4 linked regions of the Pelodiscus sinensis genome follow. The protein of the gene in region 2 purifies or fractionates together with the protein of the main gene of each other region. This does not show direct contact. Links are inferred from orthologs where the notes say so. Each region holds a gene or a part of one and is shown on either strand. Other genes may lie near its edges.

Region 1 (7,355 bases), on a different chromosome or scaffold from region 2:
AACAAGATAACACTCGGGTCATGGGCTGACACAGCGGAATCCATGGATTTCAACAGAGAAAAGGATGATAAAAGGCGGGTGCTTTGCTATGGAACTTTGGGTTCGTCTTGCCACCAACTCCAGAGGAGCATCGGCTCCATCGACCAACAAAGGCCCTGCTCTCCCTCTGTGTTCAATCTAGCTGGCCACTAGACTGATACAGAATCGGGACTGGTAACTATAACACCGTCTGGCAAGACTGTGTGTATGTTTGTATGTGAGTGATTGAAAAGCATATGCAGCTGTTGTATTCTCAATAAACGCGGCGTACTGCCTTGTCCCCGATAAAAGATCTCGTGTGCTTCGTTAAGCAGACAACACAAGTGTCCCCCTCTCCCTGTTGGCTCCGGGCTGTGCTGCTGGGTGACGATTCTCTCTACGTCTCTCTGGTTTGTGTTGCTCCTGGAATAAACCTGTTCTCCCCCAGGTCCATTGGCAGTGCACTTTCTAGAAACCTTTTTTGGGCTCTAACAGACTCTACAGTGGGTGATGTGACTCTGCTTCAGTGCAGGCTCTAGTTCAGTGTTTCTCAAACTTTTTTTTATAAAGTACCCCTTTTTAAAAAAGTATTATAAGTACCCGCAGGACCTACGGTTTTCAGACACACTATTTTTTTCTATCATTGCAACACATTTGTTTAAACAACTTAATCGTAGCCAGGCGGGTGATGAAATTTTTGGGTGTAAAAAGTACAAAAATAAGAAAGCGCTGTAAAACTTACAACAACAAATCAGTTTTCTCCAAATTTCAGTTGTGTGGACATACCCCCCAGCTTCTCTCAAGTACCCCTAAGGGTACTCGTACCTCTGGTTGAGAAACGCTGGTGTAGTTCAGAGAAAACAGGAGACCTGCAGGGATCGCGAGGCCCTGGAAAACAGTCCTGGGTGTTTGGTTGGGTGAGGATGGGAGTGAAATAGCATCAGGGCCCTGTGCAGTTTCAGGCTGGGAAATGTTGAGCAGGTGGTGGGAACAGTGTAACAAAGGGGAACTAGGGAGGAAGGGATTAAAAAGAGGCGTCAGAAAGATTTTCCTGATGCCTAATCTTTGAGCAGAGGTGGTGGTAGAATTCCCAGCTGGATGTTGCAGTAGGAAGCCAGTCTCCTCTGCCGCTAACATTTTTACATCAAAAACTAAGAATGGGACACGTCCAGCCCTCTTCATTAGCCTCATTAGCACCGGCGCTACAATTGACAGGTACTTTCTCCTAGCCCTTGTTATAAATCTCTTGGTTCTGTTATTTCCACTCCGGCTCGTCTGAGGAAGTGGGTTTTACCCGCGAAAGCTCGTGGTACGACATGTTGTTAGTCCCTAAGGTGCCACAGGACGGCTAGTTGTTTTAAAAGTGGCAGACTAAGATGGTTCCCGCTCTAAGACCTGTCTGATCTGTTTTTGAAAACCTCCCCACACTTCTCAGGGATGGTCTGGATTTATTTGGTCCTGCCTCGGCGTGGGGGGCTGGGCCAGATGTCACCAATGAGACCCTTGCCAGCCTACCTTTTCGGAGTCTGTCGGGGGGGTGGGCGTGGCTACACGGCTAGAAAGCTGCTCTGCAGGTCAGTGGATTTGTAAGGTAGCTGGGAGGGCTGAGCAGAGAGAGGGTTCGTACAGCCCCCAGCCTAACAATGAGTCCTTGGCAGACAGACCCTTTCCCACAGCCTTGGTGCCAGCCTGTTAGTCACAGGGTTGTCAGCTCTCCTCACCTTACCAGCTGTGGCCCTGTGACGACGCGTTGGGGCTCCCGTCTCCTGCACCCCGAAATGGCACGAACAGGCTCCACCAGCCGGTAGAACAGAGGTGGTTTATTGCTTCTCCAGGATACAGCACAGCACAGATGTCATCAGGTTACAGGGCAGGCCTAGGATGCCTCAGCCCCCCCTTGATATGGGAGGGGGTCTCGGCTTCTAAACCCCCCAGCCTGTTGCTGAGGCTGCCTCCTCCATGCTCCCAGCCAGAAACTAACTCACTCTCCTCCAGCCTTGCCCCCCAGCCAGGGCAGCATCCACCTTCCTTAGTTCCTCTCCATGGGGGGTGGCTGGTCAGACAGGTTGACACACCCTTTGCATAATGACTCATCCTGTTTTGCTGGGCCGTGGTACCAACTGCAGCCAATGGGGGTTCCCCCAGAGCCAGCAGCGTAGAAACCAGCCAGGTACCCCCACTACGTCACAGGCCCCAACCCCAGAGTTTTCCTGAAAGGCCCAGTGCCTGCGTGACGCCAGCAAGCTCAGTGCAGTATTGTATCTCTAGCCCCTAGTGTTCCCAAGGCCAGCTGGACCCCTGCTGCACCCCAAAGCGGTCCTGGATGGAGACTCATGTGAAGCCCTGCCCTGCTTCCAGTGACTCCACTGGTGTGTGCACCTTTGGGTGGGGGCTGCGGCACTTGGCTTCACTCTGGGATGTGGGGCTGGGGGCATGGGTGAAGGCCCAGCTGGGGAAGGCAGCCGAAGCCCCGCCCCTTCATCCCGAAGCCACACCTTTTGCTCCCAGTCCATGCCCCGTCAACAACCTTCCCACCCAGCCAAACTCCGCCCCAGTTGAGAGCCAGAGCTACTGTGTGGCATGGCCTCAGCTCTCCCCAGCCACGGGCGAGCTGGGCTGCTGCACTACACGGCCCTGGTCCCTCCCAGGTGGCTGGGCATTGTAAACAGTTTTGGGAAGGCAATGCCTTTCCTTGCCTACACTACCTGCCACCCATATGGGGGGCGCTCCAGCCATACTGTCTATTAGAGGGGTTATTCCTTCACCCTTCCACTTCCCTGAACCTTCTCATGTGAACAGAGAACAGCAATACTCAAAGCCCGGAGATGCAAACAATTTCATGTTTATTGGGGTTCGCTTCCAGCAAGCACGAATCCAGTTTCCTTTCCTTTTCCCCCCTTCTTCCTTTGTTTTTTCCCTCTTACTTCCTGTTTGTCCCCACTGCACATAATAATATTTTCAGGTATACTTTACCCAATCATTCTACTGATAGATAACAAATCAATCTTAACTTATTGTAACATGATTTTCTCACCAATTATCTCACCGCCGTAATTGTTTTATACCCAGCAAAGTTAATTATACAGCAGACAAAAGCAATCAAACAACCAGACAGAGACCATCCGGATAAATGATAGAGAGAGGGGGATTTCACAACCCCAACTATTGATAAGTGGATCCTTGCTGGTCAGAAAGCTATCAACCTAAGTTTCCTTTAAATCTTCTTTGCACTTTCCTTTATCTGGAGATGATCGTTGGACGGCCTTTCTAACAGCACAGAATTGCCTTATTTCAATGTGATTTGTTTGGGTGGATCAAGATGTGACTGCACATTTCCTAGTTTATGGATTCTCCTGCTGCTTAGCCAAAAGCCTTAGCTTAAGAACAAGGCCTGGACAGTCTCATATTTGCGGCCGCTGTCTGGTAAAAAAAGGAGAAAATATCAGACACGTAAAATGTCCGGTATTTTCTGTTTTTCTCAGATGGCAGGCTGCTTAGGACATTCCTCCCCTGCTGCGTCTGGCGGGGGCGGAGGGAGCGGCGAGCGAGGGAATTTAAAACCCTAGCACCTCTTTTTTTGGTGCGTTTTTTGTTTTTGGGGGTTTTATTGCTCAACAACTTTGGTCTCCTGGTTTTTTTTGTTTTGTTTTTGTTTTTGCTCAACCACATTTTTTTCCCCTGCCATGTTCAGTATTTTTCTGACAGTAGCTGGCATCCCTAGTTGGGTTGTCAGATGGTTTAAACAAAAATACTACACCACAATCTACATTACATCATTTAGAAAATAAAAAACCAGACACTTGGCAACCCTAAATCCTAGTAACAGACCAGCCTGAATAGCTATATCCTAATACTCCAACTTTTTTTTTAGGGGGGGTGGAGGTCGGAATGGGGTTATTCCGGAAACCACATAGGACATATGGTGACACACTTCCTGATGGGGTCAGAGCAGGAAGCTAGGGCTCCCCCCCGCACCCTCCTGGGAGGTCTGCACCCCACATGGTGGGAACCTCCAGTCCTCCCTCTTCCCACGTTATTGGGGGGTTCGCACAGTTGGGGGGGTTGGTAAAATGAGTTTACTCTGTATAAGCCCCTGCAGTGTGGGGGGTATACTCTGTGGAAGAGGTGATTTACCCCACAAGGGGGTGCTCTGTTGGGGTCCCCCAAGAGGGCTAGCCCTCACTAACACCTGGCAGGCTAAACTAGTCGGGGACTACATCTCCCAGCAGCCCCGCGCGGCGCAGGCGCACTGGCGGCCTGGGCTACGGCCTCGCCCGGAGCAGGGGAAGCTCCGGCCAAGGGACTACGTCTCCCAGCAGACCCCGCGCCGCGCAGGCGCAGTGGCGGCCTGGCGCACGCCGCGGTCCCGGCATGGCGGAGCCGGAGGCCTCGCAGCCCGGCCGGACGCCGCCGCCGCCCCCCCCCGGCCGCCTCCGGGGCCGGGCCGGGCCCCACAGGGGGCCCCGCGGGCTCCAGCGACCCGGCGCGGCCCGGCCTGAGCCAGCAGCAGCGCGCGAGCCAGCGCAAGGCCCAAGTGCGGGGCTTCCCCGCGCCAAGAAGCTGGAGAAGCTGGGAGTGTTCTCGGCGTGCAAGGTGCGGGGGGGGGAGTGTTCTCGGCGTGCAAGGTGCGGGGGGGGGAGTGTTCTCGGCGTGCAAGGTGCGGGGGGGGGAGTGTTCTCGGCGTGCAAGGTGCGGGGGGGGGAGTGTTCTCGGCGTGCAAGGTGCGGGGGGGGGAGTGTTCTCGGCGTGCAAGGTGCGGGGGGGGGAGTGTTCTCGGCGTGCAAGGTGCGGGGGGGGGAGTGTTCTCGGCGTGCAAGGTGCGGGGGGGGAGTGTTCTCGGCGTGCAAGGTGCGGGGGGGGGGGAGTGTTCTCGGCGTGCAAGGTGCGGGGGGGGGAGCGTTCTCGGCGTGCAAGGTGCGGGGGGGGGAGCGTTCTCGGCGTGCAAGGTGCGGGGGGGGGAGCGTTCTCGGCGTGCAAGGTGCGGGGGGGGGGAGCGTTCTCGGCGTGCAAGGTGCGGGGGGGGGAGTGTTCTCGGCGTGCAAGGTGCGGGGGGGGAGTGTTCTCGGCGTGCAAGGTGCGGGGGGGGGAGTGTTCTCGGCGTGCAAGGTGCGGGGGGGGGAGTGTTCTCGGCGTGCAAGGTGCGGGGGGGGGAGTGTTCTCGGCGTGCAAGGTGCGGGGGGGGAGCGTTCTCGGCGTGCAAGGTGCGGGGGGGGGAGCGTTCTCGGCGTGCAAGGTGCGGGGGGGGGGAGTGTTCTCGGCGTGCAAGGTGCGGGGGGGGGAGTGTTCTCGGCGTGCAAGGTGCGGGGGGGGAGAGTTCTCGGCGTGCAAGGTGCGGGGGGGGAGCGTTCTCGGCGTGCAAGGTGCGGGGGGGGGAGCGTTCTCGGCGTGCAAGGTGCGGGGGGGGGGAGCGTTCTCGGCGTGCAAGGTGCGGGGGGGGGAGCGTTCTCGGCGTGCAAGGTGCGGGGGGGGGAGCGTTCTCGGCGTGCAAGGTGCGGGGGGGGGAGCGTTCTCGGCGTGCAAGGTGCGGGGGGGGAGCGTTCTCGGCGTGCAAGGTGCGGGGGGGGAGCGTTCTCGGCGTGCAAGGTGCGGGGGGGGAGCGTTCTCGGCGTGCAAGGTGCGGGGGGGGAGCGTTCTCGGCGTGCAAGGTGCGGGGGGGGGAGCGTTCTCGGCGTGCAAGGTGCGGGGGGGGGAGCGTTCTCGGCGTGCAAGGTGCGGGGGGGGAGCGTTCTCGGCGTGCAAGGTGCGGGGGGGGGAGCGTTCTCGGCGTGCAAGGTGCGGGGGGGGGAGCGTTCTCGGCGTGCAAGGTGCGGGGGGGGAGCGTTCTCGGCGTGCAAGGTGCGGGGGGGGGAGCGTTCTCGGCGTGCAAGGTGCGGGGGGGGAGCGTTCTCGGCGTGCAAGGTGCGGGGGGGGGAGCGTTCTCGGCGTGCAAGGTGCGGGGGGGGAGCGTTCTCGGCGTGCAAGGTGCGGGGGGGGGAGTGTTCTCGGCGTGCAAGGTGCGGGGGGGGGGAGTGTTCTCGGCGTGCAAGGTGCGGGGGGGGGAGTGTTCTCGGCGTGCAAGGTGCGGGGGGGGAGTGTTCTCGGCGTGCAAGGTGCGGGGGGGGGGAGCGTTCTCGGCGTGCAAGGTGCGGGGGGGGGAGCGTTCTCGGCGTGCAAGGTGCGGGGGGGGGGAGCGTTCTCGGCGTGCAAGGTGCGGGGGGGGGAGCGTTCTCGGCGTGCAAGGTGCGGGGGGGGGAGCGTTCTCGGCGTGCAAGGTGCGGGGGGGGAGCGTTCTCGGCGTGCAAGGTGCGGGGGGGGAGCGTTCTCGGCGTGCAAGGTGCGGGGGGGGAGCGTTCTCGGCGTGCAAGGTGCGGGGGGGGAGCGTTCTCGGCGTGCAAGGTGCGGGGGGGGGGAGCGTTCTCGGCGTGCAAGGTGCGGGGGGGGGAGTGTTCTCGGCGTGCAAGGTGCGGGGGGGGAGTGTTCTCGGCGTGCAAGGTGCGGGGGGGGAGTGTTCTCGGCGTGCAAGGTGCGGGGGGGGAGCGTTCTCGGCGTGCAAGGTGCGGGGGGGGGAGCGTTCTCGGCGTGCAAGGTGCGGGGGGGGGAGCGTTCTCGGCGTGCAAGGTGCGGGGGGGGGAGCGTTCTCGGCGTGCAAGGTGCGGGGGGGGAGCGTTCTCGGCGTGCAAGGTGCGGGGGGGGGAGCGTTCTCGGCGTGCAAGGTGCGGGGGGGGGAGCGTTCTCGGCGTGCAAGGTGCGGGGGGGGGGGAGTGTTCTCGGCGTGCAAGGTGCGGGGGGGGGGAGTGTTCTCGGCGTGCAAGGTGCGGGGGGGGAGTGTTCTCGGCGTGCAAGGTGCGGGGGGGGTGTTCTCGGCGTGCAAGGTGCGGGGGGGGAGTGTTCTCGGCGTGCAAGGTGCGGGGGGGGGGAGTGTTCTCGGCGTGCAAGGTGCGGGGGGGGAGCGTTCTCGGCGTGCAAGGTGCGGGGGGGGAGAGTTCTCGGCGTGCAAGGTGCGGGGGGGGAGAGTTCTCGGCGTGCAAGGTGCGGGGGGGGAGCGTTCTCGGCGTGCAAGGTGCGGGGGGGGGAGCGTTCTCGGCGTGCAAGGTGCGGGGGGGGAGCGTTCTCGGCGTGCAAGGTGCGGGGGGGGAGCGTTCTCGGCGTGCAAGGTGCGGGGGGGGAGCGTTCTCGGCGTGCAAGGTGCGGGGGGGGAGCGTTCTCGGCGTGCAAGGTGCGGGGGGGGAGCGTTCTCGGCGTGCAAGGTGCGGGGGGGGAGCGTTCTCGGCGTGCAAGGTGCGGGGGGGGAGCGTTCTCGGCGTGCAAGGTGCGGGGGGGGGAGCGTTCTCGGCGTGCAAGGTGCGGGGGGGGGAGCG
Region 2 (7,560 bases):
CAAAACAGGGATGGGAGACTTCACCCACTTGCTTCACACAAGCAGCACTCGTAAGAACGAGCCGTCACAATGCCGCTCACATGCTCACAAAGATCCAAGCTACGCACCAACCGGCGATCAGAACCTTCCAGGATAACCCCAAGTGGAGTGCCTGACTTGATCACCCATTGGTGCCAGCTCAGACCAGCATTCCAGCTATCTGCCTGGGACCACAGGGACAAGAGAACTTCAAGACTTTGTGCATGGTTACTACCCTGCCTCTAGTACAAGAGGATCTGGCTCATGAAGGAGACATTTGGGAAGGAGGCGGAGACTCGGTCATTGGGGCCTATTTTATTACTAGAAGGAAACCGTCTGACAGCACAGAAACAGATGAATTCGAGACCTCCCTCCCGCCCGCCCCAAGGCCCAGTGACATGTATCTGGAGGGAAGTATCTCACCTTGAGTGATCGTGGAGCAAGTGAGCTATTGCTCACACTGCCCTAGACAGCTGACCATCAGCTATCTAAATTCCAGTGCACTGCTGAAAAGCACCCAGGGGACCTCAGAACAATAATTCTGCCCCCTTTCTTTGCTCATGCACACTAGGGTGTTTAGAGTTTCACTGCCCACAAACATCAGGCTGCAGCCCTGCCAGAGGTGCAGGTGCAGAGCTGCCCATGGGTACCAGGCTGCTGATTACAGTTAGGAGAAAAGCAGCTCAGGTTTCAGGGTTTCACCAGCAAAGCGTCTCCATGAAACCGCACTCCAACCATGCAAACCAGCAGCGCCTCCAGCACAACCACCCACTCCCCACAAGCAGGGAGACAGCAAACAGGGAATTTTGGCTCATTATGGATTCTTGAGCCAAACAATTAAAACAAAGGATCAGCTGTAAAGCTGCCGCCGGCCCCTCAAACTCCAAGCCTCTGGAAGATGGTATGTTTAACTATCAAAGCATGTTGTGGTCTTTTCCTCCTCCCCCCACCCACTTTCGACTGAACTAAAAGCTTGGGGATGTTATACTGGGACAATGGCCCATTATGCCCAGGATCCATTCACTGACCATGGCCAATGCCAAATGATGGCTCAAAATAATCTCCAAGTGCACAAGAAGGATCCCATACAGTGTTCTGTTTGTGCCATGATGAAGGAGAAATGCAAGCCCTTGTCACTTCGCTTCAGTCTAATTGCCGGTGGTAGTTATTTACGTATTTATCCAGCCTTTGCCAGAGGCTGGAGATGGATGACAGGGGAGGGATCACGTGATGATTACCTGTTTCTCTTCACTCCCTCTAGGGTACCTGGCACTGGCCACTGTCGGAAGGCAGAGTACCGGGCTAGATGGATCTTTGGTCTGACCCGTGCGTATGTGTCGAAAACAAATTCGGGAAACCAAAAGAAAGGAAGGCTCCGGTTCAGCCTTGCCTTGTGGGACCCTGATTTTGCACCAAGAACTACAAGGGCAGATTCTTGCCAGGAGCCCCACTGAACACAATGGGTGTCTGCATGGATGCAAAGGTCAGCCCTCCATACTTCACAGCAGTCAGTATTTGTTATACTACAATAGCATCCAGAGGTGCCAATCACAATGAAAGCCCTCTCATGCAGATGCACTAGAAGACAACACCTGCTCCAGAGTTTATCCTAACAATTATTTAGAAGTTACAAGTAGGGCCCTGGAAATCCATAGATACCCACTTTATACCCACAGGTATTTGCATCCGTGGATGTGAATGCTGATGTCCACGGCCCATTCTTGAAGATTCCGTATCTAGAATCTTGCAAATTTACAGATAGCTGTGGATGTGGATGCAGATAACCTCAGCATATTTTTGCATCTATAGATGCAGATACAAAATTTTGTATCTGCGCAGGGCTCTAGTTACATGCCTGAGCATGTATACACACGCCCTCCCATCGCGGACAAGCAGAATTTCACAAGACTAACTTTATCCTGCAGATTGCTGCCACAGTCATTAAAGTATCATCACAACACACTGAGACCTGAGAATAATCTGAGAAGTGTGTCTAGAGACACAATCCACACAGTGGATTTGGCTCTGAAGTACAATTTTCAGACATTGTGATGACTGGTGTATGTCTCCCCCTCTATTATTAATGTATTTGCATATTTTATGCCCAATCCCCATTCCTCTCCACTGAAGCAGGGCAGGTCACTCCTGTGTGTGATGCGAGAGCGGAGATCTCAAAGCCAGAATTCACAGGTCCCCTATGAGCCCATGTCTCCTGGTGAAGAGCTGGGAGCAGAAATGCTGAGCCAGGAAGGCAGAGAGCTCTGCTCTGCACACGCTAATGGCAGCCTGGCTCTCGCCAGGCCTGGCTCGCACATTACTACCGGTTCCTCCCTCGCTTGGGAGCTTTATCGCGGGAAGCCGGAAGCCGGAGAGCTGCAGCCACCGCACGGGCAGCTCCCAGCCTTATCTGGCACCAGACAGGGCTGCCCCCCCCGGCTACAGGTGGCCCGTCAGCGAGCCCAGGGCGCGGGACGCTCGTGAGGCTGGAGCCCATGACCCCGGGGGGGGGGGCGACTCCCTCTCCCCCCTCGTCCCCCCCGCAGCGAGGCGGGAGCGCCCCGCGGCCGAGCGGCGTTACCGGAGGGCGCCCCAGCGCGGGCCGCTGCGCCGCCGGGCCCGGGCGGGGGGGCTGCGGGGTGGCGAAGAGCAGCAGCTCGGCCTCGCGCTCCGCTTCGGGCGGGGGCGGCGCGTCCGGCGTGGAGATGATCACGATCTGCTGCTCCATCGCGTGCAGGGCCCCGGCGCCCCCCAGCAGCGCCGCCAGCTCGGACACGCGGGCGCCGCCGCCCGGCCCCTCCCGAGACATGGCGGGGCGCTCACCGGCCCGGCGCCGGCCCGGGGGGGCCTGGCCCGGGGCCGCGCCCCATGCTCGGGGGGGCCGGGCCGCGCTCCGCAGCCTCCGCCCCTGCCCGGGGCCGCCGCTCGCCGCTCGGTGGCTCGGCCCGGCCCGGCTATTGTCCCCGCCGCTGCCGGCCCCGCGCGCCTTTGCGCGCCAAATCCTTTTTGCCGCGAAAGCCGCCGGAGCGCCGCGTCCGCGCTCCCATTGGCTGCGTCCGCCACACGCCGGCGGGGAGCGGCCTCGCCATTGGCCGCCGCGCCGGGCGGGGGGCGCCGCTCCGCCTTGCCATTGGCTACGGCCCGGACGGCCGCGAGGCGCCGCGGTGACGAGCCCAGCGTTCTGACAGCCGGCCAATCGCAGCGGCTGCGCCGGCGGGGGGGCGGCCAATCAGCGCGCAGCTGGGGGACGCCGCGGCCAGGGCAGGTGCGGGGGCTGGTCGCCTCGCCCGTCTCCCATCTGTTCCCACGGCGCGGCCGCCCCGCCCCTTCCCGCGGGCACAGCGGTTGCCAGGTGTCCGGCGCGCGGCCGGGGACAGACAATAGAACGCTCCGGTGTGTTCCAACTCAGAGGGGATGTCGATTGTGACGTCATGGCACGTGTGCCCCGTGTGCTTGTTGAAACCATCTGGCAGCCCCCGCCCCGCCCCGCCGCTCTGCTCGCTGGGTCCCCGGCACCAGGCCCGGCAGACTCTGCTCCCCTCACTCCCGCTGTTTGGGGAGGGGGTGTCCGCGGACAGAAACACCCTGCCCGGCTTGCAGGGGGCAGACACCCTTCTCCTTTCCCCTTCCTTGTAGGGGGCCCGGATCTGAACCAGGACACTCCTGAGAGGGAGCGGATCTGGATCAGTACCTGCCCCCTCGGGAGGTATCCATGAGTAATAGCTACATAGTACAACTATATAACACTGTATGTAACACATGGATACCTCCCGAGGGGGTAGGTACTGATCCAGATCCGCTCCCTCTCAGGGGAGTCCTCGTTCTCAAAGTTCAATTTGCTATTCTTGCCCCCACATTTCACACCCACTCTCCAAGTTCCGAACTCTAATTACATTCTACACAGTGTGTTCTTCAGGCTTCGGCTAGATTAGGTTAGAGGTCTCCACTCAGGGATGGTATGCCAGCAATTTAGCTATAATCTCCATGAAAGTCTGTTCAATAATAGAAACTGAGGGTAAAAAAATACAGAACTTCAAAAATATGTGTGGGCACATAGGGATACATCTGCCCCCCCCCCCCCACATACCTGTGGACAAGGAGCAGCATTACAGGTGCATGGATAGAACTGGTTGCAAGTCACATGCTTTTCAAAGTTTTTCATTATACCTCTATTGCTTTTCAGTAATTCGGTTTAGCAGAGGGTTGAGTTTTTAATTGTAATAAAAATCAATCTACCTCAGAATCAGTTTCTTCCTTTGATATCTGGGCTGAGGCCAACCTTCCAGGCCTTGTCCACCCTTGGGAGAAACTGGAGAGCTAGATGATAAAACTTCCTGCCCCCCTATCTACCTTGTAGCTCTCACCACTGCTGCCAATAGTAGAGCTGCAGCAGCTGTGAAGGCTGGATCTGAAACTTGACCGTGCTAATGCTACTAGGGGCTCTCCATAAAGCTGCCTTTTGGGGCAGACTGTAAAAATCTTTGAAAGGAAAGCCACCCAAACCCGAGCCTGTTTGATCAATACATCTGGCTTCAGGACAGGGCTGAAGAGGAATTGCTCAGTGTTGGCTGCCAGTATGCTGGATTCCCCTCCGGGACAGACCATGTTGCCCATACACTCTTGTGGCTCTGGTGGATGGTTTCCTCCTGTCCATAGACAAAGGATTATCTCCATCTTCGGCCTGCTGGAATTTGATGCTGACCAAACACTTCTGCAGCTCACTCCAAGAAGCTGTAGGATTGCATGGCAATGCCACGACACAGCTCATGATCTTCCCACAGAACAAACCCAGTGTGGCACAAGCAGCTGCTTCTCCACTTCCAAAGCCTTCAGTGCCACTTTATCGTATGCCAGCAACCCACAGATGATACCCATCTCTGCCTCTCACATCGAACAGCACCATCTTGCAACTTCCCCACTGCCTAGCCAAGGTCGGCTCCTGGATAGAGAGACTGGCTAGTGCTGACCCCAGGCAGGATGGAAATCATGTTGGTAGGACATGCAGAGTGCTTTGAAGAATTTAACTCCTCTAACATCTCCCTTTAAAACATGATCACCTGCCCTCCGATTACATCTGCCTTCAGCCACTGGGGCCTTTCAGACTTCACAGTACTACTGGATGTCAAAGTGGCTTGGTGGCAAAACTTGCTTCCCTCTGTGCCTAGTCACAAAACAATGCCACACCATACGGCATTGGTCACCAGCCAGTCAATCAAGATCTACCAGTAGATCTTGGAGCCTCTGACAGGGGATCCTGACTGGTTTGGCTGGGAGGCTGTCAAGTGCCTGCATGTCAGCTGCTCCTCCTCTCACTGCCCTGCTGCTCCTGCCAAGAGCCTCGGAGCCACTCCCTAGGAGTCTACTTGTTGTGCAGGGTGGGGGAGACAGAGGCAGGGGGCACTTATGTTACTCCGCCCCCCTCTCCTGTACCCCATCTTCACAGAGTGAAGAGGACGAGGCCTCAGAGAAGGGGCAGGGCAGGGCTATTTGGGTTTGAGGTAGATCCTGTACTGACAAATTCAAAAAGTGATCTTGTGCTTAAAAAGGTTGGAGACCACTGCCCTGTGGGATACAAACTTGCAAGGCCAGGTTAACCATTAGGCTGATAAGGCTATAGCGTTAGGCCCTCCAGGCCACACAGGGGGCAGGGCCAGGGCAGGAGAGAGAGGTGGAGTAAGTTTGCTCAGGTAGTCCTGCTGGAGCCTGGGAGCACTCCTGCCAGCAGGAAAAGTAAAGCAGCACCTGGAGCTTAGCAGGAGCTCAGCCGGCTGCTGGCAACGGTCCCTTGCTTCCCGGGTTCCCTGGAGGCTCTGTCTGTCCCCATGCTGCTGCAGGACAGGTTAACAGTGGTAAACGGAGATTAAAAACGTGGTCTGGTTACTATGGGAACCTGTGCCTGCTGTGGGTGTAGTTTGAGCAGGCACTGTCTCTCCCCTCCCTGTTTCCCCATCTTCCATTTCTCCAGAGCTCTGCTGGGCTGTTGGGGGGGAGCAGGAGGGAAGAAGAGAGGGCAAGACTACCCAGTTTAGGCCTGTGTCCCTCCCCGCTGAGACTGGCAGGCAAGTACAGCTTCAGGACGCTCTCTCCTGGTCCTAGTGCTAGCTCCATTTCTGGGCAACTGGTGAGTGCCTAGAGGTGGCAGGTGGGGAGGAGCAGGGCACAAGGAAAAGGCAGTACCAATGCAGTGGGAATCTTGCACAGAATCTATAGACACTCCATCCAGCTCCAACCTGAACTATGGCCCCTGCCCTCATCCCATGTATAATGAACGAATTCCCACCCACTGAGAAAAACCAACCCTCCCACTCTGGATACCAGCGCTCTGACTTTTACAGCAGCCTTTCACCAAGGAGTTTCAGATTTATGATGCACTGTTTTCAATACTGTATTGAACTGTGCTAAAAAAATAATCCAATTGTTTTTCTTTGATGTATGTTTTCTGTACTGGCATGCACAGGAAATCCAATTCTTCCCTTTTGCTCTGCCTAGTTCCACAGGGGAACACAACTTTTGCTGTTAAGGGGGTTGCAAAATCCTTGGAGAAAGCTCAACACACAATGTTTCTCTCAGGGATTTTAAATTCACTTCGTAGCCGGCTGTGATATGTGGGCATTTTCACATCAAAAGCTATTAATGGGACACATCCAGCCCACTTAGTTAGCCTCATTAACACGGGTCCTACAAGTTACAGATACTTCTTCTGCTGTAATATATACTTCTTGGTTTCTGCTATTTCCACTCCAATTCATTGGATGAAGTGGGTTTTGCCCACAAAAGCTCAGGATTCTGTATATTTTGATTAGTCCCCAGGTGCCACAGGACCTCTCACTATTTTTTTCAATTTGTAATTCATACTTAGGCCCTTCGCTCCCCTTAATCTTAGGCCCCTCACAACCTGAATCTTACCCTGCAAACGTGGCCATAGAGCCACATGATCCTGACCTCCAGGCTCAGTAACTGCAACTCATCATATCTAGGAATGAACTGGCAGAGCCAGGGATAGCTTCAGCTTTCAGAAAATGCAGCAACATGGGCCCGTAGATGTCAGAACTCCCCAATGGTCTATTCTCTGCACTGGCTGCCCCATGAACAGTCTGTGCTCTGATATTCCAAGCCCTCCATGAGACTGGCCCTACCTACCAGAGAGGCACCTCTCCCTTTATGATCAGCCTGTTCTTCAACAGCTGCAGGGCACTGGTAAGCAAGAAGTGGAAGCTTATGAGTGAAGGGGCCAGGACATTGACAGGAGCTGGACTGGGAACTTCATGCCCTGGGCCTCACCGCTTTCAGGACTAAATGTGATCTTTCCTGGGCGGTGATGATTCCTTAATAAGCCTTCCACACATTGACAAGCCTACCCATTAGTCAAGCTGCTTCTGCAGGCCAAGAAGGAAGGAAGACAATAAGGAAGGAGATTACTTCTATTTAAATCCTTGGGAGATGTTTATATACTCTAGTGTTGAAGGCCAAACTGAAGACTAAGAAAACCTCTCTCAGCATGAGGTCTGCTAAGCAGTGGAATCAGGTCTCTGAGGAGGAGGTAGC
Region 3 (7,462 bases), on a different chromosome or scaffold from region 2:
GACTGTAATGAAATCACCTCTTAACCTTTTCTAAATAGATGGAGCTCCTTAGGTCTGTCACTATAAGGCATGCTTTCTAAATGTGTAACCTTTCTTGTGGGTCTTCTTTACCAACATCCTCCTCGAACTGTGAACAGCAGAGCACTGGGAGCTCATGTTCAGATGATTATTCACTATGGCACCCACATCATTTTCAGAGTCACCATTTCCTGGAATAGAATTCCCCATTATATAATTCTGGCATTCTTTGTGCAGAGAAATATGGCCTTTCTAATAACTTTGTCTCTCCCTTTCCTGCCACTACTGTTCTGTGAAAAGCTCACTGTTAGATGGTAGCATTGTTACAGCTCATGTCTTCTTCACCTGCTACTGCTCTGAATAGTTCATTGTCAGGTAGGCCTCTTAAGGGTCCTGCATCATGTAGGACATCTCACTTCTCAGCACTTTTCCTGACCCCATCTCAACTGGCTAGTTGTCTTCACAGAAGTTTTTCTTTCTTAACTTCTCCCAGCATATACTACCACCAGGGCAGCTGCATGAGTGCTAGTGATGGTGGGAGAGCTAGAATAGCCTGGCCACTAGCATCTTATCATTGTGACATCATGAGCGTCCAGTATTATAAGCGGGAGAAGACTCTGCTTTCCCAAATGGCCAACCTGTCCCCCCCCACAGTCCCCCCCAGAATACCTGCTATAGGCGTATTGGGGGCAGAGTGTTACTGCCCCCAGCACCCACCCTCCCAGTGCTCCTGACCTGGGATGCTGGAGCCACTCCACCCACTCTTCTCCCACTCCATGCTCAAGTGTCAGGGAGGTTAGAGACATGCACCCTTCTCCCTCCCTGTGCTTGGGGGCTGGGAAGACTGAACCCACACATCCTCCTCCCTCCCCTGTGCTCCAGGCCGGGGAGGCTGCGGCATGTGCGCCCAGACACCCTCTTCCCCTCCCCATAGTGAGGGTCGGAGAGATGGTTTGGCTCCCATGAGTGGAGAGGGGCTCAGCTGAAGGGGTGGGATTGGGGGCTGGAGCTGGAGGCTTACCTCCCCCAGCCTTATCTTCACTGACCACTCATGTGTGATATCTAGATTTCTTCTGACCCAAATCAAGATTAAAATGCAGTAGCTGGACTGTTCTAGTGCTTTTCTATTGCTGCCAGCATTGGAACTGCACTGTTGGTTTTACGGTACTGCAAGAGAAAGTAAAATGCTTAGGTAGGCACAGCCACTGACTTCCATCCAATGCATGTAGCTACACTATGAAAACATGTATGCTTTGTTCTGCAACTGTCCAGGAAAGGGATTAGAGCTTTTCCTATTGTGGTCACCTCATACCTATGGTGGAAGCCATTCTGAATTGCTTCAGTATCTGTGGATCAAATTAACACCACTTCAGCCTGCACTAGTGTAAACAAAGCAGTGCAAGCTGTAATAGTGCAGTACATACAAATGAGGCATTCTGTTTTGGGGAGCACAGAGTGCACCATGTCCAGGGCATAGCTGTTACTTCAAGGATTACAGCAGGGGTTCTCAAACTTGTGATATCGCGACCCCCCTCTCCGTTGCTGCAACCAGCCTCTCAGTTGCTTGCGATCCCCCTCTAAGTTGCTTGCAACCCCCAGGGGGTCAGGACCCACAGTTTGAGAAATGCTGGATCACAGGGTTTTATGCACATCCATATTTGCAAAAATGAGCCATGGATAAATGCATCCACATCCACAGTTGTGGATATCTGTGGATATAAAGTAGATATCCATGGATTTGCAGGGCTTTACTTACTGATGCTTAGAGGAGGAGCTGTACCTGTGATGCTGCAAATATTAGCTCCCACTGGCAGCACTTGTGTGGCTGCAAGCCGTGTGACAGGCAAGCTAGAGGGTTGTAATGGTCCTGGGAGTATCAACATTCTGTAGTACAAATAATTCCCTTTCAAGTCACCTCCAGCCTGTCCTTGTATTACATGTGGAGAGAATAGAGTACCCCTCAGAAGGAGAGGAGACCTGACAGTGATGTGATAGCACCAGTAGCATGGCCACACTGCTGGCACATGGAAGAGGAGGAGCCAGGAGGGAAGGGACAGGGAAGAGCAAACTTTGGGAAGAAGTGTGAGACAGAGAAGGAAGGGACAATTGAGAGAGACAGGAGGAGGGGAGAGGAGGGAAGCAGATGAAAAACAATGGGGGTGAGGAAGAGGAGGATGATCCTTGTTCAAGGAGAATTTGCCACAGTGTAGCCTTGGCAGGATACAAAATATGTTGTTGGGTGATATTATGATGACATTTTCAGGGAGACTGTGACCTCAGAGATACATCATCTTCTTCTCTTCCTCCTCCAGTATGTGCTAGACAGCAAAGGTACGTCAGCCAACCACCTTTCCTGCAGTCATCCTATTCTTATTTGTAATAAAGATTACTTTGTAGTGCCCACAACCATAAACAGAGTTTCAGAGCAAGCTCAGGAAAGAAGGGCCTGTGCCCCAAACAGTTTACAGTTGAAGTGACTGCGATGACAGGTAAGGGAGGAAGGAGCACATCCTGGAGAAAGGAGAGGAATGACACAGGTAAGGAAATATGCTCATACGGCTCTTCCATTTGTATTCTGCATTCTTAATAGTTACACAAAGATAACATTTGTAGCTTTTAGTTTTCATTACAAATCAGAGATTTGATCCTCAGTTTAATTAGTGGCATGTACACAACTTAGAAAATATGTGATTCATGCGTCTCCTTGCTCAACCATATAGCCAAATGGTAGCAATAGCAGATAAAGCAGGGCTGGGCAAATACTGGCCCGCAGGACAGATCCAGTCTACCAGGATTAGCCCCTTGCAGGCCCCCTCACTGCCATATTTACCTGCACCTCCGCAGGTACAGGCGATCACAGCTCCTGTTGGCTGCGGATCACTGTTCACGGCCCAGGAGAGCTGTGATCTCTCCGACCTAAGGAGGAGGGGCAGGTAAATATAGCGGCAGCGGCCCCCCAGGGGATAGCCCATGTGAACCATCACCGTTTTATTGCCCACCCCTGAGATAAAGATTAACTATATGCTTTACCAGTATTGACCAGCTCTAAGAGTAACAGCAGTAAAACAATACCCAGAACTAATATGTTTACTGAGACTGTGGTGAATTGTGCAATATTAGCCTGTGGCTTCAGGCCCACAATCCTATGGTCTGGCAGCTTGCAACACTTACATGTTTAAGTAGCTTTGCTCATATAAGTAGTCTGTCAGAAGCCAAATAGTCTACATTTTATAGTAGTAATCCACTGGTCCTCAAACATAAACTGCTTAGCAAATATATTGTTTCTGCCCCTTTGCTTCTCTTTAATAATGACGTGACATTTTTCCTCACATTTTAAAGTGTTGTTTTTCTCTGCTTTATTTTTATATTTAAACATATCAGCAATATCAGGTCTTTTCTTCAAAGCCCTGGTGTTGCATAGAAATATCACAGTAGGCAGGAATCTTAAGTTTTCTCATTGCTTTCCCACTCAATTTAGGGCTTAGAAAGCTGTAACACAGTTTCAATATACTGTGACCTCACTATTTCTCTGCATTTCTTCAGCCCTCCTGAAGAAATAGGGAAGTCAAGACCTGATATTTCTGATGTAGAAAAAACAAACAGGAAAAACATGAGTTAATCTTCAAATATGAATAAAGACAATAGGACACTCACCATGGACATGAAAACACACTTATTCTGTTATGAAAGTGTTCACATGAGGATTTATACCAATATAATGATACTTGTTTAATCATATCAGTATAATTAGTACAATTTTCCTATGTAAGTGTATCCATCAGTGGGAAAACAAGGATTTAAGTACATTGATTTAAAATCTGATTTTAGTTTAACCAGAATGTTATTGTGCATAACCAAGACTGTAAAACATGTTACCCCCTATTTAGCTTGGAAATTCCCCCCATTTACATCAGGCCTTTTTGATATCACCAACTCTTTTGATCGGTCAGTTCAAAATATGCAGGCTGCAACAGAAGCATGCAGAGAGCCCCCTAATCACAGAATCTGAACAATACCCAGAACTTTTTTTTTTTCATATGTGCATAATATCAACCTCCAAAAGGGTTTCAGTAGTAGGTTCAAATCTGGGTCCTCTGAAGCTTTTAAATGCACTAGCATGTTAGCTTTTACTGCATGAGCTGAACAACACTTTGTTTTAGCGCAAGCCAGTGATTCTCAACCCATTTACCATTGTACGCCACCCACGGCATGTCTACATTGGGGAGTTACAGTAAACTTCCGATAATCCGGCACCTTTAGGACCCAGGGGGTGCCGGATTATCAGATTTGCCGGACTATCGGAAGGGGGGGGCTATGAGGGGGTCTAGGGTGGTGTGGGGGGAATGCCACCCCAGACCTCTCATAGCCCCCCCTTCCGATAGTCCGGCTCTGCCCCCGGCGTCCCTGATTCAGCCGCTGCTGGTCAGTTTCAGCAGCAGCTGAATTGGGACGCCTGCGGCAGAGCAGCTGGGGTGCTGCCAGGTTGGTCCCGCAGCGCCAAGTGGCGGCGCTACTGGACCAACCCGGCAGCACCCCAGCTGCTCTGTCCCAGGCGTCCCCAAATCAGCTGCTGCTGAAATTGATCAGCGGCAGACTCCAGGGCTTCCGGGAGACAGCCGCTGGTCGGTTTCAGCAGCAGCTGAATCGGGGACAGCTGGGGTGCTGCCGGGTTGGTCCTGCAGCACCGAGGAGCAGCGCTACAGGACCAACCGGCAGCATTCCAGCTGCTCTGCCCCCAGCTTCCCCGATTCAGCCGCTGGTCAGTTTCAGTAGTGGCTGAATCAGAGAAGCCGGGGGCAGAGCAGCTCCAATGGTCCGGCTGCCCGGAGCACTTCCGGGTTCCTGATGGTGCCGGACCATCAGGAGTGCTGGACCAATGGAGTTTTACTGTATTTTGAAACCACTCCCCTTATTCCAAACTAATAAGGCGAGCATCCACACTACCAAACCCATTATTTCAAAATAATGGGCTTTTTATTTCAAAATAATAACTCCTGCTTGTGAATAGGAATAAGCTTATTTTGAAATAGTTATTTCGGGAGTTTTTATTTTAAAATAACCTGATAGTGAGGACATAGCCCTAGGTAGCTCTCTACCTGTTATGTGAGCCACATCCAAACTCTCTCTCTCTCTATATATATATATATATATACACACACACACGTACACTATCTGTATGGCCCTGAGCATGTCACATGGTCCAAGCTGTGGGCTGTTTGTGCCACAGGGCTGAGAACCACTGGCCAAGGCTGTAGTGGGCTCATGAATCTTTATGACAGGGCTACTCAACTTTGGAAGCCCCAGGGGACACAAAGATACAGCACATGCTGAGGGCTGCAATTTAAGTGTGGTTGCATTTGCATGCAAATATATATGCAAATAATTTTTTTCACACTGACAGGCTTGAATACAAAGATTAAGCCTTAAGTTGCAGCACTGAACCCAAACATAGCTAGTATGAGCCAGTCAGCACCTCTCAGGCTCTGCCCACAAGGCTAAGCAGCCAGCACCTACAATGTCCCAGTGCTCCCAGCACCTCCTCCCTGAGGGCTAGAACCGCCAATACCCTGTATTGTTCCAGCCAGCCCATCTGCTTGCATTTTTCAAGCTCACCCTGCCTGGGAGACGCCTCACTGTTGTGCTGCATGTTCCCAGTGGAGGCCATGTTCAAAGAATCCCACCTGCAGGCCACGTGTTGAGTACCCCTGCTTTATGGGCCTACTCACCACCAGAGAGGGACAGAGCACCACTTCCAGCAAGCAGGGGTTACATGGACATTTATTTCCACTGTATAGAGAAGCTTTCTGTACATATTTCAGTGAGGCACAATCTCCCTCATACAAATCGTTCCTGCAGCCTGAGAGCAAAAGCTACTGGTCTGTTAGTCTGCAGAGGGAGAATACACATTATGATGTTAGAAAAATATTAAGTGTTTGCCAATATTGTAGCAGATGTTACTGATCACAGATCGGGGTGTCCACATATAACTTTTAAAATGATTTTTCCTGCCTCAATTTAATCAGAGGCAGAGGCATCTTAAACATATTGGAGGGTTTCTGTCAGGTGGTGCAACTCCCCCAGTGGGGACACTGCCATTTAGCGCTCCCAGTGCTTGCTACCTCCAGTGGCCACTATGACTATAGCGTCCATCTGAATAGCCCCTCCCTTTCCATTCCCTGCATATCTGGTTTTCCTGGCACAACCAAACCCTGACTGTGCTTTAGGTTAGGAGAAGAGGAAGCCATATACCAAATTTGGTGTTCCTAGCTCTTACCATTTAGGAGGAGTTCTTGAAAAAACAGATAGAGATGCAGAGACAAACTGTCTCCAATATATAGTATATAAGTATTCATACATACGCAGCACGTATGTGTATTTACTAGATACAATGCTACATGCTATAGTTAGCTGTGCTATACACAGCACTTCTCAGTTATTATACTGTACCTATCAGGACTGTATCTGAGGACCAACATACACAAGAATCTATTTATCTAGAGAGGCAATGCTAGACAAGATGTGTTTTTTATACGTCACATTACAGTAATGTAAGCACAGGAGGGAGTTTAACTGTTTTGTAAAACCATCTGCATGATTTCTTAGTCATTACACATTATAAGCAGAGCTGGTTGTGCCACCTATAGATAAGGTTGTTTGTCACTTTCCATTATAAAATTTTGTTTTCACTTATAATTTTGCCAAGCTTTAGCTGTTTGAGTGGATTTTTTCCACACTTCAGGCTGATTTAATTTAATTTAATTTTGTGTTTGTTTCCAAGAATAAGATTTGTTTCATCCATTAAACAAATTCGTATGTGTTTTATTCAAACACTCCTGCACCCTCGTGCTTTGAAGCAGCTTTGAAATTTTCTGGGAAAGTCACCCTGGTGTGAGATGTGTGCCTTTAGCCTTTCTTATCAAATCTGCCCAAACCTGTCAAGCTATACGCCTCTGAAAAATCTCAGTTCACACATGCTCAGTAGAGACTTTATTAGTGATTGACAACTAAATTCCCTGACAATTCCATCAACGCTGAACATGCTATATCCTGGAGCTGCATTGATTGAACAAAACTTTCCCTCTCTGCAACTGCTGATCCAGTAGGTTCAGGTCTTAAATCTAAGAACAGGGAGACTCTCTCCCTCTCTTCTCTGATTTCAATGTCCCCCTTCTGGTTCACAGGCAGCATGGAGGAATGAAGAAAGGACAAGAGCTGGACCTCCCCAAGCAGGGGAAAGAGTAGATTAAAACAAGGACTGGCTGGGTAAGGAGACTCTGACTGGTAGTGTGAGGAGACTGCGGTTATATGAGGTAGAAATTGGGACTGGCTGGGCAAGGAGACATGGAGCCAATGTGGGGAAAGACTAAGACTCTACAGCCAGGTGGGAACTGGAACAAATTGCCTCAATAGGAAACTGGGAGACAGGGTTGGAGAAAGATTGGAA
Region 4 (7,518 bases), on a different chromosome or scaffold from region 2:
TTTGTCATTAAATATCATGTGACATTTTTTATTAATGTGGATATACTTGCCCAAGTATTCCAGATTAAATTCTATTCGGCTAAAGTACCTAGAATTCAGTACTTCTAAATAAAAGCAACACATAAAAACAGGGGATTCCATTCAGATTTTAGCATAATATTGTATAATGGTGCCATTTCTTGAGCAACAAATGGCAAATCTAGTATTTCTACGTGGTATTCTTAAGCATCCCAAATGAACCTAAGCTATTTTCCCCTGATCAGCTGAACTGAAAAAGGGTCAGTGCTATCACCTTCACTTCACTGCAGTCCTCAAGGAAGGAATCCACACTTGACAATTCCTCCTTCTCACCTCTCAACTGTTGCATTACTCAATACAAAAAAAGCAAGCAAACCACTTCTTGGAGAGCTAAATGTGCATCTGAACTCCATTAGAGAAACAATTCCACAGACAAATGTATCAAGGTTATGCAGTAAACACATTTGATTAGTTTCTTTATTCAAAATGTACTAAACAAAGATTTTCTGTTCAAACAAATATTTGAGAAAAAAACCTGGAGGCTACAAGCTACGGACCTCTAATAATTCTGCAAGTGGATTGTAATGCACTCTAAACTTAATAATTAGTATATGTTTTAACTTTTAATAGCCATTACTCTTTGGTTCTGTGTTTAACAAAGAAAACCGGTATTTCCTTTTTAAACAATAAAAACAGGATCAGAAATCCAGATGACATACACACCAAGAACAAGAAATGTGGCATTTAGATCATTCAAGAAATACATTAATTTTGCAATTACCTCAAAATTCTCACTGACTTCTTGCATCATTTTCAATTTTGTTTCATCGGCTGAAAATTCACAAATTTGAGTGAAAAATTAAATATATGTGACAAAAACCTGACAAATACCAAACATTCACAGGTAAAAGAAGCAATCAGATCTTATCAGTTTAGCTATCATTGCCCAGTTATAAATCACACATTTCTCACAATCACACACTTTCATACTCACATTTCATACTCACACACTTCACTCTAAGGCTCATGTAAGTAATGCTCATCATTTTGCTTCTTCAAACAATCAAAGATAAAGAAAATGCAAAGTGAACTCCATTCAAATTTACCAACCAACTCTGTAGACAATATTACAGAACTCCCTGAAGCAAATGAGTAAAGAATCACATTTCCTTAAGAAATGGAAAATAAACTTACGAGTATTAACATCTGTTAGAGCAGCCACAAACTGGAGGTATTTCTTCATCAAAGTGGTTTGGTCAACCACGGTGGGCCCTTGCGTTGAAACAAAGGCCATTTTTGTTTTGGACCAGACTTGAGTATATTAAAAAAAACTGAAAAAAATCAGCCCACCTACAAAAATAAAAAAACATTGTAAATATGACAGCTTATTGGTGATTTAGTCCTGTGACATCTTATTTTAAAGGGGCACCATCAATTTAAAAGTCATATTTGTCATATTTATTTACATACAATTGCAACTTATATTCTAATTAACTGAAATAAGAGAAAAAAAGGTTACTTCATCTTTTACAGATTTGCATACTGAGTTTTCCATTTTCTTTGTATGGGTCTATCAAATGGCAACAGGGGAGAATAACAGTTTAAGGGTTAGGAAAATACAGTGATAAAGGCACACAAACTGGCATAGGGAAGTCAGAAGAAGATACACAACATAAAAAGTGTAACAACATATTTTAACTTGACTAGATTTCAAATTGATAATGTCCTTTTAAGTACCTCTCAACAAGGTTTCAGGGTACCTCAATCAAGTTTTTCCACAAACATGATCTGAGTTCCTAATATGTAAAAAGAACTTCAAAGCAGTAGCGTCTCAGTTGGTTTTAGTTTTCATTGTGTTACAGACCTTTACTGCTGACCTCATTTCACAATCCATGTTTATTTTCTATCATATCCAACATCTTAATTTGATTTAGCTTTCAAATCAATCTATGTTTCAATAGAAATACACTGCATTTTTAACTACATCTTTCTTAATCTCTATGCAAATACTGATTGTTTAGGCTAATCACAAAACCTCTCTGTTCCTCAGTGCTTCCTTAGCTGTAAAATGGGTAGTTCTGTAATCGCAAAAATGTCACAGAACTTTACAGGAGTTTTTTGACATTTTTGTGATTACAGAACTACCTCGTTTACAGCTAAGGGAGCACTGAGGTTTTGTGATTAGCCTAAACAGGAAGGCAGCTCATGACAGCACTGGAAATACAACCTTGAAGTCTCAGCTCCTCTCTATCCTTACCTTCTCTGTCTTGGTGGCTCTCTCCTGATTGAGGGTGCCACTTTCTCTTTGACTGGACTCCATCTATGCTGACCCCATTCCAGCTAGTGCTCTTGCTCTGTAATTGTGTGAAACCAGTTATGGATCTTAAAGATGGGCATAAAGGTGATATTGCATCTCCCTCTACCAACCCGGGTTTGCTCTGAGGTCAAAGCCCTTGGCATCTGTGCCCTCTCCCCAACCTTTCAGATCAGATCTCCTGACCCTCCAGCCTTAGATCCCTAAGCCCCACAAGCTAAGCCTCCCCACCCCTCACATCCTTTCCCTCATCCCCATCCCGATACTCCAACGCCAGACTCCTGCCCATCACCAGCAGGGCAGTCTCCCCCAGCGCCCACTACCAGGTCTAGGGCGCCCAGCTCACTCTAGGGCAGGGCTCCCCCACACACACACGCGCACCCCGCTGTAGGGCAGCCCCCGACAGGGCCTCTGCGGGACTTGCCTGCGCGGCCCCTGCAGACACACACCCCGACCCGCGGCCTAGTCCCCGAGCTCCCCCCACCGCCGAGTCCGGTCTCTGCCCCGCAGTCCGCCCCGGGCTTTACCTCCCTGCGCGGCCTCCTCGCTCGAGAGCCCCTCCTTTGTCGCCCTCCGGCCTGAGCCCGCAGCCGGGCGCGGCGCATGGGCCCCCAACGCACGACGGAAGCCGCCGGGGTTCAGTTCCGGCCGCCGCCGCTGCCTGCGAACGGCTTCATTCCCCGCCCCCGCACGCGCATCCCCGCCCCGCCAGCATCCCCCCGCTCGGCCCCTAGTCCGCGCGCGTGGGTGGCCCCTCCCCCTCCCAACAGCGCGCCGGTCACGGTCTGAGGGGGGCCCCGGCTGGGCGCGCTGCGAACCCTCCGCACCACACGCGAGAACCGGGCTCGGGGATCCCTTCCGGCCGCAAAGCGGGGGGCGCGGCCGGGCAGCCCAGCAGCTAGCGCCGCAGGCAGAGCGCCCAGACCCGGCCTGGCTTGTCCATTAGCCCCGCACCAGCCTTTACCCTCGGCCCTTGCAGCGGGCCCGGGCAGCGCCCTGTAGCGGGCCCCGCGGGAGCTCCCGGGCAGAGCGGCTCCCAGCGCGGAGCATCCGCCCTGCTGTGAAAGCGACAGGCTCCCCGGGCTGTGTGCTAGAGCGGAGGCTTCACAGCCACACGCGCTTGGCTCTCAATGCCGAGACCAAAGATGCCTCAACAGATCGGACACACACAGCTTTTCCCACTAGAAACAGGAGCAGGGAGGAGACGGGGACAGCTGAATGAAGCAAGAACACGGGATACAGAAAGTCAACTCCTGGAATACCCTGTTGGCCTGTACTGTGTATCATCATTTTTACCCCGCTCTTTGGGTGAAGATCCACAGACTGAGATATCAGTATATATTCTTCCATAGACCTGTACTGGACCCAACAGCTGGATTTTAATGAAAGCAACAACAACAAAATTCTCCCTAATTTGTTTTGAAAGACAGCTCTACTGGTTCAGTGGCTTTTGATTAATAAGCCGGGTGTAGAACAGAAAATAGAAGGGAATAAAGTATAAACGTTGGAAGATGGGTTGTGGAAGAAGTATTCCTGGATAGCAGTCAAGTTCAGAAACTTTATTTGCATGACAAACTATAGAAGTGTCATCCAACTTAGCAAGGTATACTGCAAGGAGCAATTAGTTAATAATAAAGTAGCTATTTCATATTTTGTGCTGTACCCATCTCTCTCAATCTATGCTTTGTACTATACTATTGTACAATAAAATATTTTTATTAAAAGCAGCTAATCCACCCAGCCTGCCATGATTCTCCAAAATCCTAGTGTCATCTAGTTTGTATGAAGGATCTCATGCAAAATAAGGCCAAAACCTAGGTGTTTGTATCTCTGCATGGGAGTAGTTCCAGTCTATTGTATGAGTCTAATTGCATCCAGAGACTTACAAGTTTTCAAGATTGGGGTCTTAAATGTTATTGGTTTGCACTGTGTTATGAGTGTATGACTCAAATTCATTACTCATCTGTTTTAGAAAGATTTTTAAGGCAGCATTTTTCTTAACCATCAGGAATATGATACAGGATTTGGGCAGACTACGTCACCTATTTTCTAATGGAATATTAAGCCCTACAGAAATCAGTCTGTTGTAACTTTTAACGTGGTGTTTTATACAAAAATCTGCAAGATACACATGGCCACGCATACCAAAATACATTTATTCTATTACCTTGTACCAGAAAACTGTTTTCAAAATTTTTGCAGCTGTAGGAGCTTTTCACTAGCACCCCCATAGGGATTTTCTCTGCCTCCTTTTCTAATCCATTGGTTTATACAGGTGTCTAATACAACTTTTCTAAACTAGTTAGGCGTGGGCAGGATTTGCCAGGAAAAAAAAGCAAGAAAAAAAACCCAGACAGTGCAGTACATCCACATTGCCTCTAGGTGACAGCAGTAGTGACTACTTGCTACCCACCTCCTCCCGGTCCTGGAGACAGAGTGGAGCCCACTTGGAAGATGAAGTCTGGCTATCGGAGCTGAACAGACAGTAGCAGTTTTCTCGGGGCACTGACTACAAATGGCCCTGGCTTTTTTCACCCCGAGCATCCTCCAAGTGACTTGCATGGTGCTGTTCCTTTTCCATTCCAAGTCAGCGGCAGGTAAGGTAGATCTGCGCCTTTCTCAATCCAGGGCTAATGAGCCAGGGGTCATTAGAATTCAGCCCTAAAAAGCAATCTTATGCTGCTGTAAACACAGAATGAATATTTATTTCCAGGCAAGCCCAAAACCAACTGAGCATTTCTATGGTTTTCCTGAAAATAAAATACTCTATCTGCATTTTCAGCAAGGTTTGCAGTGTCATATTTCTCCTATATATATATATAGAGAGAGAGAGAGAGAGAGAGAGAAGGGAACAGATTAAATGAGAGATCTTTTTGCCTGCTGCTAATTTCTGCAGTGCTAGGTTTCTGTGGAGAGTGATAAAACCCTGCTCTGAAACGAAGGGGTATAGTTAAACCTCCTAGCTTGAACATTGGTTATTTATAAGGAAGACTTTGTTTTCTTGTTCTGGGGTGGATTGTGTATTCAGGATCCTGCTTGAATAACTGGAGCAGGTGTGAAGGAGCTGCACCCCAAAGGGACATCTTCCCGTGAGAAGCTAGCAATAATGAGTAAGTTCTCTGGCAGAACAAAAGGGGGGTGGTGCAGCTATGTCTGCCCTTTTCCACCCACAAACCTCGATCAGATGATGTGGGAACTGCCTCTTCATGGTGAGGCTTAGTTAGCAACTCTGGAAGGAAGGGATCTCAGACAAGACTGAATCTATCAGCTCCCTTCTTTATTTCCATCTTGATTGGGATGCAGTGAAGCATCTCTGCTCCCTCACTGCTGTTAGTCACAAATGACTAAGACAGCTTGCCCCTCCTCTTGCTCCTTCCTAGCTTTGCTGTGTTGCATCTGAAAAGTGAGCCAGGAGAGCTGGGTTAAATACTTCATTCTGCCACTGATATATTGTGTGACCTTGAGCTAGCCACTTAATCTCCTTCCCACTCCGTTATCTTATTCAATATGTCCCCTCCCCAGTGTCTTTTTTAGATCTGCCACTGATTTCTGGTATTTTCCCCAATTTTTGCTGTAGCAAAATGGACAGTGAACTAAGTGCAGATTTTTAAAAGGTCACCTTCAGCAGGAATTTCAGTCTTTCTAGTTTTGCACCACCTACTACTCCCTGCCAGTGCACAATTTTTTGGATTTTCCCTCCTTTTTCTCATTGGCCTTCAGTGCAGCAGGACCAACTTTCAACCACACCGCAATTTAGGATATAAATGTTTCCTTTAAATTGGGGTCGGAGACTGGTTCTTACCCAGGTTGAGAGAAGTAGAAAAAGAAAAGGTTAGTGGAGAACCATAAAACAAAGTATGTTAACTTTGTTACACATAAGGCTAAAGGAAATTTTTTTTCTTGGGTTTAATAAGGAAATACAGGAATGAAATCTGTAATTAGTTTTGGACACTAATCTTCAGTCCAAAATTGTGCTAAGAAAAACATTGATTAAAGGAAAAATGTAGCCAGCAATGACTCTATTTAAAATTTGAGCTCTGCAGACATGCATCAGAACTGCTCACCCAAAATGTTTTCTCTGCACTGAAGTTGTGGTCTTTTTGGTTTTGGTTTTTGTTTTAAATGAAGCAGGAGTGACTTGAAATGGAGGTATGGCTACAAAAGCCTGACCCTAACAGGAAAAGTGAATAAAGGGATTCCCTGAGCAAAGTAATATGGTATTAACTTGTACAGTATTGTCAACTTCAAGAGATCTAAAATCATGAGTTGGACCCCTAAAAATCATGAGATTGGCCCAAAAATCATGACTTAAAAAAAGATTATATTGTTTTTTAATTCAGTCTCTTAATGTTTGAATTCCCTCTGCCCTCCCAAGGGGGTAGCATGTAACAATTAGTGTTGCCCTCTCTCCAACTTGCGTTGTATACGATTATTTTGACTCCTGCTGCAGGAGCTCTCAACCCCACATCTGCCCACCACCTGCCCAGCAATTATTCCTGTTCCCCAGTTCCCCGTCAGTTCTCTCCCCATCCAGTGCCCTCAGTTCAGACCCACTCAGTTCACTTCCCCAGCCCCCCATCATCACCACATCAACAGTTCAGCCACCCTCCCCCATCAACCCCACCACAATCAGTCCATCCTCCCAGCACTCATCCATCTGCTCAGAACTCACCATCAGTATGGGCCCTCTACCCCATCAGCCCTCACGCTCCTCACTTCACCGCCCCCCCTGCACCCTTCTGGCATAGTTCAGTCCCTCTAGTCTCATCTCTGCATCTTTTCACTCTCCCCATGCTTTGGGGTGGGAGGGATAGCAGTTGGTCCCCTCACCCACTTCGCAGGCTGCCATGGGAACTACCACCTACAGCTAACAATGGACTTCTCAGCCGCCAGCGGCTGACAGCAGGAGATCACCCAGCCCGGGCAGAAAAAAATCCTGAGATTTGAGAGTTCAATCACAAGATCATGGGCAAGACCTATTTTTCTTTAGAAATCACGTTTCTCATGATAAACTTGTGAGAGTTGGCTTGTCCATTCAACTTGTGAGCTTCAGTTTCTGGATTGTGCTGAAAAAGCCAGAGGAAGAATGCTTGTTGTTTTTGTAGGTTTAAAGTAAAACTGGTCTTGTTTCAAATGAACGACTGACTCTGACATGACTTGCCAAGCCCAAACCATCACACCGATTT

Evidence for each region.
Region 1: the proteins of E2F1 (region 2) and KAT2A purify together in Homo sapiens (affinity purification with western blotting; 4 studies listed by BioGRID and IntAct, with this or other methods). This does not show direct contact. The link is inferred for Pelodiscus sinensis from reciprocal best matches to the Homo sapiens genes E2F1 and KAT2A.
Region 3: the proteins of E2F1 (region 2) and KAT2B purify together in Homo sapiens (affinity purification with western blotting; 5 studies listed by BioGRID and IntAct, with this or other methods). This does not show direct contact. The link is inferred for Pelodiscus sinensis from reciprocal best matches to the Homo sapiens genes E2F1 and KAT2B.
Region 4: the proteins of E2F1 (region 2) and TRRAP purify together in Homo sapiens (affinity purification with western blotting; 3 studies listed by BioGRID and IntAct, with this or other methods). This does not show direct contact. The link is inferred for Pelodiscus sinensis from reciprocal best matches to the Homo sapiens genes E2F1 and TRRAP.

What each region holds. Positions count from the first base shown.
Region 1 is NC_134739.1:9,356,821-9,364,175, forward strand, and holds the start of KAT2A (histone acetyltransferase KAT2A), read left to right. Parts: upstream 1-4,355; 5' UTR 4,356-4,389; coding exon 4,390-4,611; intron 4,612-7,355. UniProt on the Homo sapiens protein: Protein lysine acyltransferase that can act as a acetyltransferase, glutaryltransferase, succinyltransferase or malonyltransferase, depending on the context.
Region 2 is NC_134728.1:34,324,841-34,332,400, forward strand, and holds the start of E2F1 (transcription factor E2F1), read right to left. Parts: upstream 3,019-7,560; 5' UTR 2,825-3,018; coding exon 2,597-2,824; intron 1-2,596. UniProt on the Homo sapiens protein: Transcription activator that binds DNA cooperatively with DP proteins through the E2 recognition site, 5'-TTTC[CG]CGC-3' found in the promoter region of a number of genes whose products are involved in cell cycle regulation or in DNA replication.
Region 3 is NC_134712.1:191,345,470-191,352,931, forward strand, and holds the start of KAT2B (histone acetyltransferase KAT2B), read right to left. Parts: upstream 3,015-7,462; 5' UTR 3,000-3,014; coding exon 2,849-2,999; intron 2,556-2,848; exon of another isoform or gene 2,422-2,555; intron 518-2,421; exon of another isoform or gene 364-517; intron 244-363; exon of another isoform or gene 229-243; coding exon of another isoform or gene 90-228; intron 87-89; exon of another isoform or gene 72-86; coding exon of another isoform or gene 26-71; intron 1-25. UniProt on the Homo sapiens protein: Functions as a histone acetyltransferase (HAT) to promote transcriptional activation. Has significant histone acetyltransferase activity with core histones (H3 and H4), and also with nucleosome core particles.
Region 4 is NC_134726.1:24,279,308-24,286,825, reverse strand, and holds the start of TRRAP (transformation/transcription domain-associated protein), read right to left. Parts: upstream 3,008-7,518; 5' UTR 2,860-3,007; intron 2,373-2,859; 5' UTR 2,276-2,372; intron 1,369-2,275; 5' UTR 1,313-1,368; coding exon 1,213-1,312; intron 850-1,212; coding exon 800-849; intron 1-799. Other genes in the region: TMEM130 (transmembrane protein 130), read left to right, coding at 4,848-4,929. UniProt on the Homo sapiens protein: Adapter protein, which is found in various multiprotein chromatin complexes with histone acetyltransferase activity (HAT), which gives a specific tag for epigenetic transcription activation.